Schizosaccharomyces pombe: one gene and its partners. Changing the gene in region 1 together with any one later gene gives a genetic interaction. Each region holds a gene or a part of one and is shown on either strand. Other genes may lie near its edges.

Region 1 (4,000 bases):
TTGCAACGTCAGTGGCTACCAAAATTTTTGCAGCTTCCGCACGAAACCGTCCAAGTGAATTGATCCTTTCACGTTGTACCATTTCTGAATGAAGTTCGGTGACACGAAGCTCGAGCAATCGAAGAATAGAATATATCAATTCAGCAGTGCGAGTCCGATTTACAAAGATAATTGCAGACTTTTTAGCGTTCTCAGGAATCGTTAACAAATGCACCAAATAAGCTTCTCGTACTTGTGAGGAAACAAATATGTAACTTTGCTGCAAAGTAGAAGGTACGGAAATGTTATCAGTTTCAACTTCGTATAACCAAAGGGGAGGCTTATTATTTTTCTGTGGCTGATATTTGAGCTGACGAATAGCATCAGTAACAGTTGCAGTAAACAAAAGCGTTTGACGATCTTCAGAGGCTGGAAGAACAGAAAAGCAATCATCCAAGTCATCAGCAAAGGTAGGAGACAACAAACGGTCGGCTTCGTCCATTACCAAAAATTTTATTCGACGTAGTCCGGCTATCGTTTCTTCACCATTACTTCTAATCAAGTCAGCTAGGCGACCAGGAGTAGCTACAACAACATGGGGCCGTTTCGATAAATCAATAGATTGTCGTATCATATCCATGCCTCCAACGATGAGCGCATGCTTTAAATTAAGATTAGCACCTAAAGCAGCAAATTGTTCATCAATCTGTATTGCAAGTTCTCTGTTCGAGTTAGCTAATTGTAGTAGAATAGTTAACATTTATACTAATTTAAATTTTAAGAAAAAGTACAATAATGTTATATTTTATACCTGGTTGGTGTCAAAATAAGAGCAAATATTCCTGATGGATCCTTAGACCATTTTTCAATAATAGGCAAAGCAAAAGCAGCAGTTTTACCAGAACCTGTTTTAGCACCTCCAATACAATTACGTCCTATAAATTTTTATTTGTTAGGCACATTTTACACTTAATTTTACTTTATTAATTTTTGTAAGCATACCTTCTAAAATCTGAGCAATTACTCCTTCCTGAATATCTGTAGGTTCATATATTGCAAGTGCTTTTAGCGTATCGATAAGCCATGGCGATATTCCTAAATCAGAGAATGATTTTCTTGTATGTTCTGACATGTTTTCTCCCCGATGTAAGGGTTTTATTTAAATTAAATATAATGGTTACTGTACTGTCAAACCAAACTATTGGGATTCAACTTGTTGCCCTTACTGCAAAATTAACACGCTACGCTACATTACGCTGCTTTAGACATTATTGCTGATGCGACATTTTTCAATGACTTTTAGGTCAACATACACAGATAAAATCTTCATATGGTTAACATAAAGTTTTTATTGTTCTCTAAAATAAGTACAGATAGAACTCAAACTAATTTCTTCAGTTTGCTTGTAAGTTATTTAGTGCTTTTTCGGTAAACCAACGTGCAAAACACAATATTTGAACTTTACGTAGTTAATCGTGTTCTTATAATAGTTAACGGATTGTATGTAGTTATTATAAGCCATAGAAAATCATGCAATGATAAATATATTCTTTTATGTTTTCCTTGAACAAAATTAATTATAATTTTAGAGGTAGACATTTATAGTAAATAAAAGAAGAAAGCTCACAGGATATGATAGTCTCATAATTACATTAACTTATACTCGTAATGAACAATTCCCGAAGTCGTTTTAACAAAGGTCTCACTAATTCTAAAATAACGTATCTACATAGCTAAGTCCATAAGTTATTTAGTGAAGTCCTAATTTAGAAATGTAGGTTATACTAATAATGGTCAATCGTATTTAGTATAGCTTCCGAAAACTATACGATTTCTTCTAATAGAGGCCTCGGTTGTTTGTTTGCGAGGAATTAACTCTTCCATCAAAGTTTCCGTTTATAGTGCTATCCTCTAATTTTCTAATTCAGGAAGCAAAAACTTCAAAAAAGTTTATAATTGGTAGGTTTATTTAGCGGGAAGACCATACGTTAGAATTTACTTTCCTTGCGTTTTTGGAAAAGAAGAATAAAAATTGAAGTTTGTTAAAAATACAAACAAACTTTTGGACTTGGTATCAGTCATCTCTTGTCACTCTTTCTACAAATTGAAAAAATATCGAAGAAAGCGCCCATGCCTCTATGTCCAAAAAACCTGTCTTGAACTTAGATACCAGTAATGGGTTCTCTGAAGAATATATAAGTCATCCTGAACGTAATGACAATCAAGGAATTGTCGAGATTACAGACCTGGTGTTTTCTAGCGAGTCGAAATTAACTCAGCGAAAGGAGAGCCGGGATAGTAAAACATTTGTTCCTTCCTTTCTGGAAGAACTTGATGATGATCACCTACATGAATTGGTTACAAATGGAGGTATTTTGTACATGAACAGTCTAGGTGAAGGTGTTAGTGGCTCTGTAAGGAAATGCAGAATTCGTGGGACTCAGATGATTTTCGCTATGAAAACTGTATTAGCTGCTCCGAATACCGCTTTACAAAAGCAACTCCTTCGAGAGTTAAAAATCAACAGAAGTTGTACCTCTCCTTACATCGTTAAATATTATGGCGCTTGCTACAATAACGCAGAGTGTCAGTTAAACATAGCTATGGAATATTGCGGAGCAGGATCTCTCGACGCGATATACAAACGCGTACGCAGTCAAGGTGGACGCACTGGAGAACGACCATTGGGCAAGATTGCATTCGGTGTCCTTAGCGGTTTAAGCTATTTACATGACAGGAAAATAATACACCGTGATATTAAGCCATCAAATATCCTTCTGACGTCAAAAGGTCAAGTGAAGTTATGCGATTTTGGTGTATCTGGAGAATTGGTTAACTCTCTCGCTGGCACATTCACTGGAACTTCGTATTACATGGCGCCTGAACGAATTTCTGGGGGATCTTATACTATATCGTCAGATATATGGTCTTTGGGTTTAACATTGATGGAGGTCGCATTAAACCGGTTTCCATTCCCTCCCGAGGGTAGCCCCCCACCAATGCCTATTGAATTGCTCTCGTATATAATAAATATGCCACCTCCCCTTTTACCTCAAGAACCCGGTATTAAATGGTCGAAATCCTTTCAACATTTTCTATGCGTGTGTCTGGATAAAGACAAAACTCGTCGTCCTGGACCCCAAAAAATGCTTACCCATCCTTGGGTTAAAGCGTTTGAGAGAATTCATGTGGACATGGAAGAGTTCCTTCGTCAAGTCTGGTCTGATTAGAAGAAATAGTGTCATATGTTAGCACTGTAAGTTGATAAATTCTGTTTGAAAATTCTTATGCTAAATTTCTTTACATTGGAGAATGCATAATCTGATTAATGGCAAAATATTATGAGTCTAACTGTCTTCCAGTTCGCTTGTTGTATGAAATAAATAGGAAAGTCATAATAATATATACTTTTTATTAATTGCTAACGGTTTTTCTAATTTTCTTTATACAAATACCTCCTTTATAGTAATTTTATGGGTTTAACATTTTTAACAGAAATAATTTTGGCTTGATTATGCATACTCAAATCGTAGCGAGAAATGATAGATTTACGCCTTGCTAGCTTTTTAACAAAAATAGGCAAAATAGGCGTTATATGGCAACTTAAAAAACGAAAGAATTCGTATATTTAATTATCCACAATTAAGGACTATTTCTTTTCGTTCTCTTATAACGTGAGGCAATGATTCGTTTTTTTTCTAGTCTACGCACGTAAGTTGGTGGTGTAACTACACCAAACTTCCCAGGGTATACATGTCCTTAACTCTTTCAATGAATTAATTGCTTTTCACTACACCGTTCTATCTTTATTTTTAAGTTTAATTTGTATACGTTGTCTGCCTAATAAAAATTATTTAAAAAAAATGACTGAAAAAACTGCTAGTCATTATTGGAATGAAGAAACCTCTATATTGAAGCTTCGTCGCAAAGATATACTTCTGTTTGAAATATATGCCACTACACTTCTTCTAGGTAGCATTTATAGCATTTATGTTGACAAATGGTCGATTACCTCTTACTT
Region 2 (7,634 bases), on another chromosome or scaffold:
AAATCCTGCTTCGATGTCAAATGAAGTTCGGTCGTTATTTGAATGTAAAGAATGAGATCCACGAAGAAGGACTTCTTTGAGAGAAGGTGATCTTCGAGGTTCATTATCAGTTGGTACCTTCAAATGATCTTCCACGCTATGGTTATCATCACCTTCACCCGAAGCGATTGTCGGTACAGTCGATTCAACGATGGAGAAACTGCGATCACTAACTGAAGGTGTTCTAGTTGACATTAAAAGTTGCTCTGGATCAGCATTATGTTGGCGAAGGACTTCTTGAATGGGTGTTTCGGGTAAAATCTCAGAAACTTCACTCAAAAGTATGAAAGGATTTTCTAAAGCTTTCTTCTTTTCTTCCATATGTTGAAGGAATGTTTTTCTGATGATTGAAGTTTCAACCAAACCCAACAACTTTTCCATTCTAATAGATTTTTCCAATTCCGAAAGTACGTACGCTCGGCGAATGTAGTCAGAAATAGGAAATGCTTCACGATGATCAACAATTTTATGAAGTACAACTAACATCAATATATTCGAAAAAGAAATGACGTTGCCCGGTAGTGTCATAATCTCTGTACAGAGAGAATTCAGTACGTTTCTTCGCTCTTTCACTACGTTTACATCAATAGTATCAATAATTTGGTCTAGCGCCTCTAAGTTTATTTCAGAACCCATCAAGGGATTTTCGAGCATTGGGACAGATTGCTGCCCAGTTTTACTCTGAACTTTGGAGATAATGCTTCTCAATGTATGTTCATCTCGATATATTCTGAAATCATAGACACCCCTTAGCGAAAGAACAAATTTTACAGCATTGCGTTTGGGAATATAACCGGTGACCATGGGGTCAAAAGGTGCCCATGAATCCTTAAATTGTCGGAAATCGTTACGCTGCAAATTTGTAAACGAGGAAGATTTAGTATGGATGTAGGAAAAGTTGTCGAAAACAACAGTAATAAACATATTAACAAAAATGTACATTGAGATAATATTCCAAGCAATAAACAATCCATAAGCCCACGGTTTGTTACCGCAGTCTGAATTGTAGAAATCGTCACCATTCACACAATTAGGATATGATATAGTATAATCATGCATTACATCGTTCCAGCCTTCTCCAAAGGTCATCGTAAAAAGCAAAACAAGAGCATTGCGTATTGACCTAAAGTTTTTGTTAGGCCCTCCATTCAACCCAAGCTTGGTCAACCCGAAAATCTGATTAAACGCTATAGCAAAGGTAATGTATAAAACAATCCATGTCGCAATCAATGAAAAAATAGAAGGTAAGCTTGCAACCACAGTTTTAGAAAGCTGATCAAAATTGTCAAACTTCGGAATTAGATGCACAGTAACTAACACCAATAAAGTAGTTTGCAGGAGTGTTAACGACCTATTTTCAAACTTTGCAAGGATAGCAATATTGCAAGTGAGACTTCCTAATGTTACAACGACATCAAACATATTCCAAAAACTGTGAAAAAAATAGTAGAATGAAAGACCGTAAACTTTGACACATATGTTTATCGTATAACATATTGACAGTATTAGAAATATAGAGTTTCGAACATAAGTGTACGCTATAGGACAAGGATAAAAAATGGTTAGAAGGAACAAGAGATGCACAATATACAACCCAGTAAATGTCCTTCTCCATATGCCATGTTTTTGCACTGCAAAGTCGTAACAAAGTCCTCTTAAACCCAGAGGTCTAATGGCCGGCCTTTTCGACGGACGCATTGATTTTATCTTCCTGCGCAGTTCCAACCACGCGCGCTGTTCCGCAGTAAAGAAAGCCGACCCTGTACGTTCAGCATAATTGCTGATGATGATGGCAATAAAAAGAGTCAATATATAAATCATTGAAACAAGGTTGAACAACACAAAGAACATAGCATTACCAGAAGAGGCATTGGTCTGGGGTTGATTATTGAATCCAGTAATGTCCATTACCGAACGCATAATGTCTACCCATCCTTCAATTGAGGCGATTTCGAACAAAGCGAGTAGAGCATGAGGAAATCTATCAAAATCGTAATCAGGGGGATTGGACCAGACTCTTGGTGCCCAAACCTCCCAATTATTAGGAGTGGATGCGTATTCTAAAACACACTGAGAAGCTGATAAAACGTTGTCATCATTACAACTGTATAATAATCCACCAAAAACGTTTTTAGCCCACAGAGCAAAAGGAATTAGCAACGTTGCCGACACAACGGCGGCAGAAAATATTTTAAAAAAACCACTAATTAGGGCGTCATGAAACATCCGCTGTGAAGTTTGTGTAAGATTGATTAATCGAAGCACACGAAGCGCTTTGAATGCTCGAAAGGCTCGGGAAAGCAAGGCATGGCTTGTTAATACTGCATAAAGATTGATCCATAAGGTAACCAAAACGAAAAAGTCGATGCAATTCCAAGTACTTCGAAGGTATGCATTTGGTGTAATACAAAATCCATCAGCTATTATTTTTATAGCGGCTTCAATTGTAAAAATAGTTGCAAAAGCTACCTCTGTCCATACAAACCATGCATGTTGTTTATCATTCAATAAATGGTCTCGCTCATAAATAGGTGTAGCAATGCATTCAATAATCACTGCAGTTAGAATACAAGCATAAATAAAAACTTGTATTACACGGTAAACCCATTGATATGGCTCAACACCGCCATATCGTTCATTCACACCGGGCATTACCAGTCGTTGACAAAACCTCCTAATTCTATTCGACGGTTTAATGACCCAAAACACATCATTATACTTTGGGTGATTCTTTAAAAATTCGGTCTGCTTAATTCGGACAAATGCTTTAGCAGCTTGCATATCTTTCGCTGCAGTCTTGAGATTCATATCCTTTTCCCAGCGTATACCGATAACACGTTTGAAGTATGCTTGAGAAAAAGGGTCATCACGCATAACAAATCTCTTAAAGTTATTTGACAGCTTTGCCAGTGAATATTTAGATAACTCGGGTGAGGTATCCAAACTCGGTTTAAGTGGCTCTTTAGGAGGAATATTAGTAACACGCAAAAAGCCTTTAATAATATTGTCTTCATATAACCACTCATAATGAGATTCATCCACTGTCTTCCCTTTTCGAGATCCATTCCTTTTAATTAAGGCATTCAAAGTAAGGGAAGCTTGAAAAGGATTATAGTTCCTTAATAACCTAGCTAAGTACATTTTCAATTGTTCCATTTTTAGATCAGATTCTGAAGGTGCAAAGTTTACCTGAATGACAGCAATAAACATACTTAAAACCACGTTGTTTGAAAAGAGAAACCAAAGAGTAAAAAAAGCTCCAGGAATCCACGATAAGTGAAGATGTGCTAATCGAGCTTGGATTGCAAACATCACATCCGTCCAATTCTCACTTGTCAAAATCTGGTACATGTATAAAAACGATTCGTAAGTAGTAGCGAAGCTAATCGCATCATCGTCTGAATCTCCGTCATTGGGCAAATCTTGAAACAACCTGACAGCGCACAAAGATGCAATGAATAAGACGATTACCAAAAATAGCATCAAATTTAGCAGTTGTTTAAAATTTGAGAACAAGAGTTTAGCAATTTTCCGTGTATAGGGAATCAAAAGAATGCATCGGTATATCCTAGCAATAGCAAATATTGACAACCAACCAAAAGCTACAGGATTTTTTCTAATACTCGGTAATAAAGTAACCAAATTCAAAACGGCCAAGACAATATCAACCAAATTTGTATACCGTCGAAAAAAAAGCCTATAATCTGGCAAGTATGCAAAAAATCTAAGAATCACTTCTGCAGCCAGTAGAAAGTCCACACAAGCGTAAAAGATTAGGTACCTATTTGCAGTGCTAGAAGTTTGATCATATGTTTGAGTACAAAGAGTTACAAACTGGGCTACTATAAAACTTATCCAAATAAAGTTCGAGTAAAATAGGTACTTCTCACATAACTTATTTCGAATGAGATGTTTATCAACAGATTTTTGTTCTTTTTGATTCTTTCCGGAATGCTGCAAGTCAATAAAAGAACTCGTTACCACTGCAATCACAAGGGACATGAGCCAGAGTGTAAGAAAATATGCAGATATTATGAAAAGGAGACAAGAAACAAAATATTCTGCATCCATGATATCGTACATAATATCCGTGAACCCATTGGAACTCATTATAACAAATATCAATTCCAAAGAATTGAAAAAATTGTCAAAGCTAACAGTGTTACTGTAGGGGTTTTCCACCACGCGACAAACACTTTTTTCAGCACAGATAAAACCTCTGGGGTTCACGTTGGATGGAAATCCATTTTTATCTAAGTAAGCCCTTTTTATACCATTCTCCCAATGACCACCACAAAATTGACCAGTAGGTAAATACTGGTCCCCGTAATCACCAAGCCATACGCATTGACGATTCAGTGATGCCTTAAAAAATTGAACACCCAATATAGCTATCATTACCCCAAAGAAAGCATTAAACGAGACGACTTGTACTAAAGGTGTAGACGACTCTTTTAAACTTTTTAGGATGGTTTCAGTTTTTCGAGTTATATTCAACAGCCGAGTTAGGCGCAAACAAGCAATCATACTAAAAAGCCGAAAAATACCTTGCTGTTTTTTACCAATTACAGAGATCCATAAAGCAACAATAGCCACAAAATCGACACGATTCCATGAATGTCGCAAATAAGACATTGTTCTGGGAGTTTTCTTGGTATACGAGTTTATGAAATCATAAAATGAAGAGGAACCATCATATAAAAAACCAAATAAATAGATTTTGAGCAACATCTCTAACGTATATAAGATACCGATTACAATAATTAAATAATCGATAGTTTGAGACTTATCATGAGGGTCATCAGAACGAATCATTAGTAAAACCGCATGTAGCACAATTACAACAAAAATAAAGATATTGTATAAAGGGTGATTATAAATTTGGCGGAGAATTGGGGAAAATGGCAAGTTTCTTCCGGGTGTTTCATTAGCTCTTGGAGGGCCAACAACTCTCAAAACCGCAGCGTAAATTTCGGAAAAAAAATGAGTAAAATAAGGAGATAGTTTATCAAACAAGAAAGGTTTTCTAAATCTCCTTAGACTGGTGTAATCTCCCTTGGTAGTTTTATCTCCATTCAGAAGACCTTTATCTAGTGTTTCTGAGTACCTAGAAACAGTAGGATAGGCCAATTGAAGTTCAGACAAGATTTTGTCCTGCTCATCAACAGTTTCGGTTATGCCAAGGTTATGAAATTCGACACCGTCGCTGGTCATGGAAATCGTATCTTCATCATCTGCAACATTATACTCAAATGGGTTAACATTATCCAAATAGGAATCATCATGGGAATCAAAAGAATCGTTTACGAATGGATTTTTTTTATTTATGTAGGAAGAGGTATCTTTAGGATTATCTTTAAGGGGAATGAAATCGGTATTATCAGGGCTAGAGCTTGGATCTGAGTTTGAGCTTGATGACATTACACTTCTTAATTTTTTTTAAATGATGAAAAAAGACTGAAGGAATGTAGAAAACGTCGAAAACCAGAACCTCTTAAGAGTCAAGGAGCTTCTCTAACACGGGAAATGCAAAAAAAAGGAATAGATATAGTGCAACAAGATTTAATTATAAAACGTAACGAATAGAATAAATATTTAAAGTCAAAATAACGATTGAAATAAGGAAAAAGGACTAACAGGAGGATGTAGTTCATAAACCGTTCAAAGAGAGACAAATGTAAAGAAAAGAGTCCAATTGCCAGCGTTCATGAGATATGGAAAACGACAATGTATGCTAAAGTAAAGTATATTAATAAATGACGAAAATGAATGCAAGTTTAAATTGTAAAGAAACAGTGAGGTGTAAAAATGCCGCCGACACAAATTTTCGAGTTGTTGCCCGGAACTCAAATTGTACGAATGCTTCAATAGTTTTAGTTTCACACTTTTTATATTCAAAAAAATAGACAAAAGGAATAAATAAAACTTTCAAATCTACGTTTTCTCAAGGTGCTTGCTTAACCCAATGTTGGTAGTCCGCTGGAGAGGATTGTTCCCAAACCTGGCAATATGGACAGCACTGGGAATAGTAGGAATGGTCGACCCGTATGGTTGGTACGGAACCGCGAAGACAGGGAAGATGAAAAATTAAAACTCTGGGTTAATTTTAAATGTGATTTTAGTTTGCAAGTATGTATAGGATAATTGATAAACACATTCAATACTTAAATAAACTATTAGTTTAAGCAATATATAGATAGTTTTTTTAATAAACAGATATTTTTTCTTCCTATTGAATACAAAATTTATTTCTTCCTTCCAAACTTCTTTATCTCACATCTATTACTTAATGAAATGCTTTATTTTCGATAGGTTTTGTAACGAAAGCAAGAAATTACGATAGTAACAAATTTTCGCAAACGATATAAACGTCTAGCAAATAAATTAATTCAATGGTAATAGAATTATGGTATGTCCAACAAGATGAAATAATTGAAGCGGATAACAAATAAGATGTACTCTAATTGAATAATCTCGAAATCGACATCAATGAAGGGTAGAAGAAAAAATACCAACTATTATAACTTATACCAAATTTGTATAGAAAAATTATGAAAAATAGCGAAAAGATATGCTTCATCATGAAAAAAATTCAAGAATGAAAGAAACATATGTAAAAGACTAATCGTAAAGCATCAAATTGAAACCTCAACAAGTCTTCAATATCCATAACGGACATAAAAAGGAATGAGACAGTGCTGATAAGAAGGGTGAAAAAATCAAATTAAACAGCTGAATTTGTACAGCAAACTAAGGGTCAAATAAGCAGGATTAAAAGAAAATACCGAGGAGAATCGTATGTCTCAAAAAATAGAAAAGAAAATGAAAAATGATAATTAAAACAAACAAAGAGTTCAAAGAAAAAGCCTTTGGCTGAACACAAAGAAGCAACAACGCGAAAATCACATTCACGATACAACCATCAGACCAAAAACTACTTTTCTTTTTAGAAAAAAAAAAGTTTTCATAAATTGTACAGTTAGCTCTAAAACATCGCTAGAAATAAAAGGAAGGATCGGTTTTCAAAGGAAGAGAAATAAAAGCTTACATAGCTTGAATGATCATACCAGAAGTCCAACCCTGTTGGGATAAACTTTTTTTAAATTGAAGGACGCGTCCAAGGAAAAAAAATCTTTGGACATTTTCAAGTCCTACTTCTTCTAATTGGGACTTGGCATGAGAAAAAGGAAGATTGGGATTAATCTGAATCGAGTAATCTTTGTCATCCTTACTGTAACGGATTAAGACGGTTTCCAAAGACGAATCCAATTCCGCATCCTTTAGCGATGCTATGGATTTTGTGGTGGTATCATGCTCCTCTGGGGATTTTGTAGGGTCGTTGCTACTTATCATGTTATCATCCTCATCGTCGAGTGAATCTTTTCGTTCTGCAAAAGCACGAGGGATACGAGCCACAATTTTAGGAATTTCATAAAAAGTGCCTTTTGAATCGTATACACCCTTACTAATATCGTTTTCTGGAATCGTCAAATCCGCCGCCAATGCCATTTCGGTAGCCGCTTCAGCATTTCCTTCGTACAATAAAGTCACTACTTTGTGCAAAACATCCCATATTTCTTTTGAGCCACCATAAG
Region 3 (4,200 bases), on another chromosome or scaffold:
CTTTGTCTGTGATGTATTTGAGTATGAATTTATCTCTCTTTATTGGCGATTTCCTTTCTTACGATCAAGAATGAAAGGAATGTGTAATTTTTAGTGTAGTTCCGGATTTTTGCCGCGTATTTGTCATTCTTTATCATTTGGATGGATTTTGGTTGTTTTTTTTTGGTTGTTGTTCTTAATGAAGTGAACGCCCGAAGAAAAGTTAGTTGTTGGAGTATGGGTGTTTAAAGGGTATATAATTTCACATAGTTGTTTGATGAGAGTGACCACTTTAACTCTTGCCAGTCTTGATTTCCAACCCATTAATGCCCAGAAAAAAATAGGCTCGAAACTTTAGTAGGTGATAAATTTTGATATGGTTGTATACCTTTGGCGGTGTCTTAATATTTAGCTTAAATGAGCCAGAATTTTGAATTTGACCGCCCCATAAAATTACTTAGCGAAGTGAGCCTACGTATTAAATGTATCAATAAGGAAAACTGACATTTTCTATTAGCCTAAGAGAACAAAAGCATATGTACATATATGAATTTTGTACTTCATAATGAGCGCAAGCGGCAGTTCTAAAAATAAAGTCCTATGATCTTTTAAACAAAAAGTAGTTTTCATGAGGACAATAGATGCTGAAAAAGAATGAAAGATGTTTAAGAGTAAAAAAAAAAGGTAATAATAACTGAATGCGGTTTGCTTAATGAAATGAAAAAGGAGGCTAGTGTCGTTCGACCGATGCGTGAAGATTATAATGATGAAAATAATAATAATACTCCTGAGTCTCAAAATAAAATAGGAACTAAATTTGAGGTATAGGGGAGAAAAAGAAAAAAGTAAACGACAGAAGTGAAAGTGAAAACGAAATGAAACAACGGCAAAGAACAAATGCGAAGAAAAGCAAAAAAGTCTATCAGCTTTTTGTAAATGTAGGTCGCATAAACTGATAGGCTTTCCTATAAACTGAAACATGAATGTTTGCAATCGTTAGGATATTAGTAATTATGAAATGATGCAGCATTTTGTAGAACTCTTGTCATTTTCCGAATCCCGAACTGTTAGTGCTGCCCTAGTAGCAGCTTCAAATACATCGTCCACGCCGTCACCAGTCAATGAAGAACATTCCATATACTTTCTCGCACCAATCCGCTGAGCTACTAATTCAGCCTGATATCAAGAATTAGTATTCACGTGTTTGAATTATTAATATATACCTGTTGTGATTTTACAAAATTTTGATTTCGACGTCGCATTTCTTCAATAGCAACGGGATCTGACCTTAAGTCGGCTTTCATGCCCACTAAAATAAACGGAACATTTGGGCAAAGTGTATTAATTTCCTCAATCCACTATATAATGTTAATGACTGGAAAAAACAATTAATGAAACGAACCTTCGTAGAAACATTTTCAAGTGAATCAGGAGAGTCTATCGCAAACCCAACCAAAATAATGTGTGCTTTAGCGTAAGACATTGGTCTTAATCTCTGCATTGGGTTAACGACGTATTTCTCACTATTAATAACGAAACAAACCTCATATTCCTCTTGACCTCTAAAACAAGAATTAGTATGCAGGAATACATAACATATAGTTTTAACATCAGAAAAAAAAGTACTTACGCGGTATCCCACAATGCCAGTTGAACTGATTTTCCATCAACCTATTTTAGTTAGTATCAAATGTATTAGCAAAACCCAAAGAAAAGGGACCAGTGGGAAAGTAACTTTCTGTAACCAACTGAAAAAGCTCAATAACTTGTTAATCACACATACTCGACAATCTGAAACATAGTTTTCAAACACAGTCGGAACCTATAGTAACTGTTATTAAAAAACTCTACGAAATAAAGAGAAAAAAGCATTACATATTCCTATCGCCAGTAAGTTAGTAAATAAATAAATAAATAAGGTAGAAAAGACAATAAGTATTTGCGTATCGTGCAATATGCGATAAGCCAAAGCTCACTTTTATGACATCTGTACTTACAGTAGGAAAATATCCCAAAGTGAAAACGGATAACAAAGACGTCTTCCCGCAGGCACCATCGCCTACAACTACTAGTTTCCTTAAAAATATTAATATTTAAAGAAAATGAATTTGAGTAGAAGAAATAAAAGAAGCAAAAAGATATTAGGCCATAGAATCGTACCTTCTAATCGGTTGAGATTGCAACATGTACTTTTTAATAGGGAGCGGATTAAACACTGTATGAGGTTTTTTCTATGCAAATTTTTCTTAAAGAATGATTCACTGCAGATCAGACAACCAAAATTTCCCGGTTCGAAAAGCTGTAAAAATTAAACCAAATAGGTGTGAATTTTTGAAATATAAGAAATGAGTAAGCGATTGTCGAAATAGTCAAATGAAGCGATTAGCCAAACGTCCAAGCCTTTCAATTAGAGCAACGAAAAGTAGTATATGCACAAAAATTAGCTTCTCAAAGAGTATTTGTTCAAGAAATGTGGTTTTGGTGACATTTATCCCATGCGGATTATAGACACTTTTGGTGTTAAGTATCGTAAATTCAATTTATTGGAATCGTACGCTTCCTTATTGCACCTTAACATGCCTTAAAGAACTAATTTTGCACGTTAAGATGCATTAAATATGATAAAACGCCATTTGCCGTTTGGCTTTATTCACCACATTCTGCAAAGCAGCAATTGAACTAGTTAAATCCAAAAATCTTTGTGATTTGGATCATCTGGGTTGAAATCCCTAAGAAGATATACTATTTCAAGTACTTTGGGGTATACTGTTTTTGAATATTGAACTAAGAAAAGGTGGGCAGTTCGGCATTTAAGAATTTTAGGGATTACCCTTAAAACATTGCCAACGCAGACCCGTGAGCTACAATTTGAATAAAAAAAATAATTTAAATTATTTTTTTTTTAAATCGTTAGTTTCATATTTTAAGCTCATAAAAAAAGAGGCGTTGTTGGTAGGCGATTTTTAAAAAGAAAACATGAATGATAAAGCTCTTCGCACCGAAGCACTCAGTGTAGGGTTAGAACCTCCAAGTTTCAAGGATCTTCTTATACCTATTCCCAACTCTGGTACAAAGAAAAAGAATAAAAAGAAGAAAAAACCGAAAGCCAAGAAAAATGTCGAGACTCAAGCAAACGTGGATTTGCTTGGGTCGGCAGGGACCGATTCTGCAGTTACAGACGTTGGCGCGAATAATGGTGTCATAGATCATCAAGCGTCTTTGGAACTTTCAAATTTGAATTCTCGTATTTCTCATCCGCAGCTGGTCTCGGCAAATGGTGATGATTCATCGTTGATTAACGTCGAAGGAATATCTTCGACGGATTGGCAATTCACTCTTGAATCTGACGATACCATAGAACATTCTCCCCAATGTATTCTTTCTACCTCCAGTTTCGTGGATGAAGCCGAGTTTCCAGTTCATATACCTGGTTTGGAAGACGCGACGTCGTCCAATATGTCACCGAACTCCGTTCAAAATAATATGAATTTGAATACAGTAGCGTTAGGTTCGTCAACTTCATCTAAACGGAAAAAGAAAAAGAAGAAGAAGTCAAAAGCAAATAGTGCATCGTTGAATGTGGATGATCAAAGAGATTTTGAACAAGTTTATTCTACGGACGTTGCTATTACTTATAGGAATGGGCAAGCGCTTTCTTATTACAACGGTTCTGTGCGTCAAGCCAGTATGAATAATAACGTTAACAATAATAAATCCAAAGATATTTGGAGCAGTTCGAATACTGAGGAGCGGGAGCAAATTCGGGAATTTTGGCTTTCCTTAAGTGAAAGTGAACGCAGGTCGTTAGTTAAAGTCGAAAAAGAAGCTGTTTTGCAAAAAATGAAAGAGCAACAAAAATACTCATGCTCTTGTTCGGTGTGTGGAAGGAAACGTTTAGCAATTGAGGAAGAGTTGGAAGTACTGTATGATGCTTACTATGAAGAATTAGAACAATATGCTAATATTCAACGTAACCTTGCAAATACCGAGTCTGTAAACGCTTCAGACGAAGGTTCAGACAAGTCCCAGAAAGGAATCATCTCCGATTCACCTAAGCTTTTATCGATTCCTCTGAACAACGTACCATCAAAATCTCTCAATGATGATATAACCCAAGACGAGTTGAATTCTTCAAATGCTGATGTTGATGAAGAAGTCATTGAAACTACTAGCTTGGAGGAAAAAAACGTGGATAATCAAGAATTCGTCACTTCTATAAGC

Evidence for each region.
Region 2: of pek1 (region 1) and cch1, changing one suppresses a phenotype caused by changing the other (phenotypic suppression), as found in Schizosaccharomyces pombe (2 studies listed by BioGRID).
Region 3: of pek1 (region 1) and rho2, a mutation in one rescues a mutant of the other (synthetic rescue), as found in Schizosaccharomyces pombe (one study listed by BioGRID).

What each region holds. Positions count from the first base shown.
Region 1 is NC_003423.3:4,310,646-4,314,645, forward strand, and holds pek1 (MAP kinase kinase Pek1), read left to right. Parts: upstream 1-1,797; 5' UTR 1,798-2,117; coding exon 2,118-3,209; 3' UTR 3,210-3,495; downstream 3,496-4,000. Other genes in the region: ATP-dependent RNA helicase Dbp8, read right to left, coding at 1-701, 791-914, 982-1,111; fit1 (CoA pyrophosphatase (FIT) family lipid storage protein), read left to right, coding at 3,843-4,000. UniProt on the Schizosaccharomyces pombe protein: Involved in the mkh1 signal transduction pathway that plays a role in cell wall integrity. Activates spm1/pmk1 via phosphorylation.
Region 2 is NC_003424.3:2,724,545-2,732,178, reverse strand, and holds the start of cch1 (plasma membrane calcium ion import channel Cch1), read right to left. Parts: upstream 6,021-7,634; 5' UTR 5,461-6,020; coding exon 1-5,460. Other genes in the region: SPOM_SPAPB2B4.07 (ubiquitin UBTD1 family protein), read right to left, coding at 7,084-7,634. UniProt on the Schizosaccharomyces pombe protein: Voltage-gated, high-affinity calcium channel that functions together with yam8 to mediate calcium entry into cells. Required during conditions of environmental stress.
Region 3 is NC_003424.3:4,420,967-4,425,166, reverse strand, and holds rho2 (Rho family GTPase Rho2), read right to left. Parts: upstream 2,477-4,200; 5' UTR 2,166-2,476; coding exon 2,140-2,165; intron 2,056-2,139; coding exon 1,977-2,055; intron 1,861-1,976; coding exon 1,855-1,860; intron 1,802-1,854; coding exon 1,763-1,801; intron 1,651-1,762; coding exon 1,610-1,650; intron 1,542-1,609; coding exon 1,523-1,541; exon of another isoform or gene 1,475-1,522; coding exon 1,382-1,474; exon of another isoform or gene 1,338-1,381; coding exon 1,203-1,337; exon of another isoform or gene 1,156-1,202; coding exon 991-1,155; 3' UTR 521-990; downstream 1-520. Other genes in the region: protein nst1, read left to right, coding at 2,956-4,200. UniProt on the Schizosaccharomyces pombe protein: Involved in cell morphogenesis, the maintenance of growth direction, control of polarity and of cell wall integrity. Regulates the synthesis of alpha-D-glucan through activation of pck2.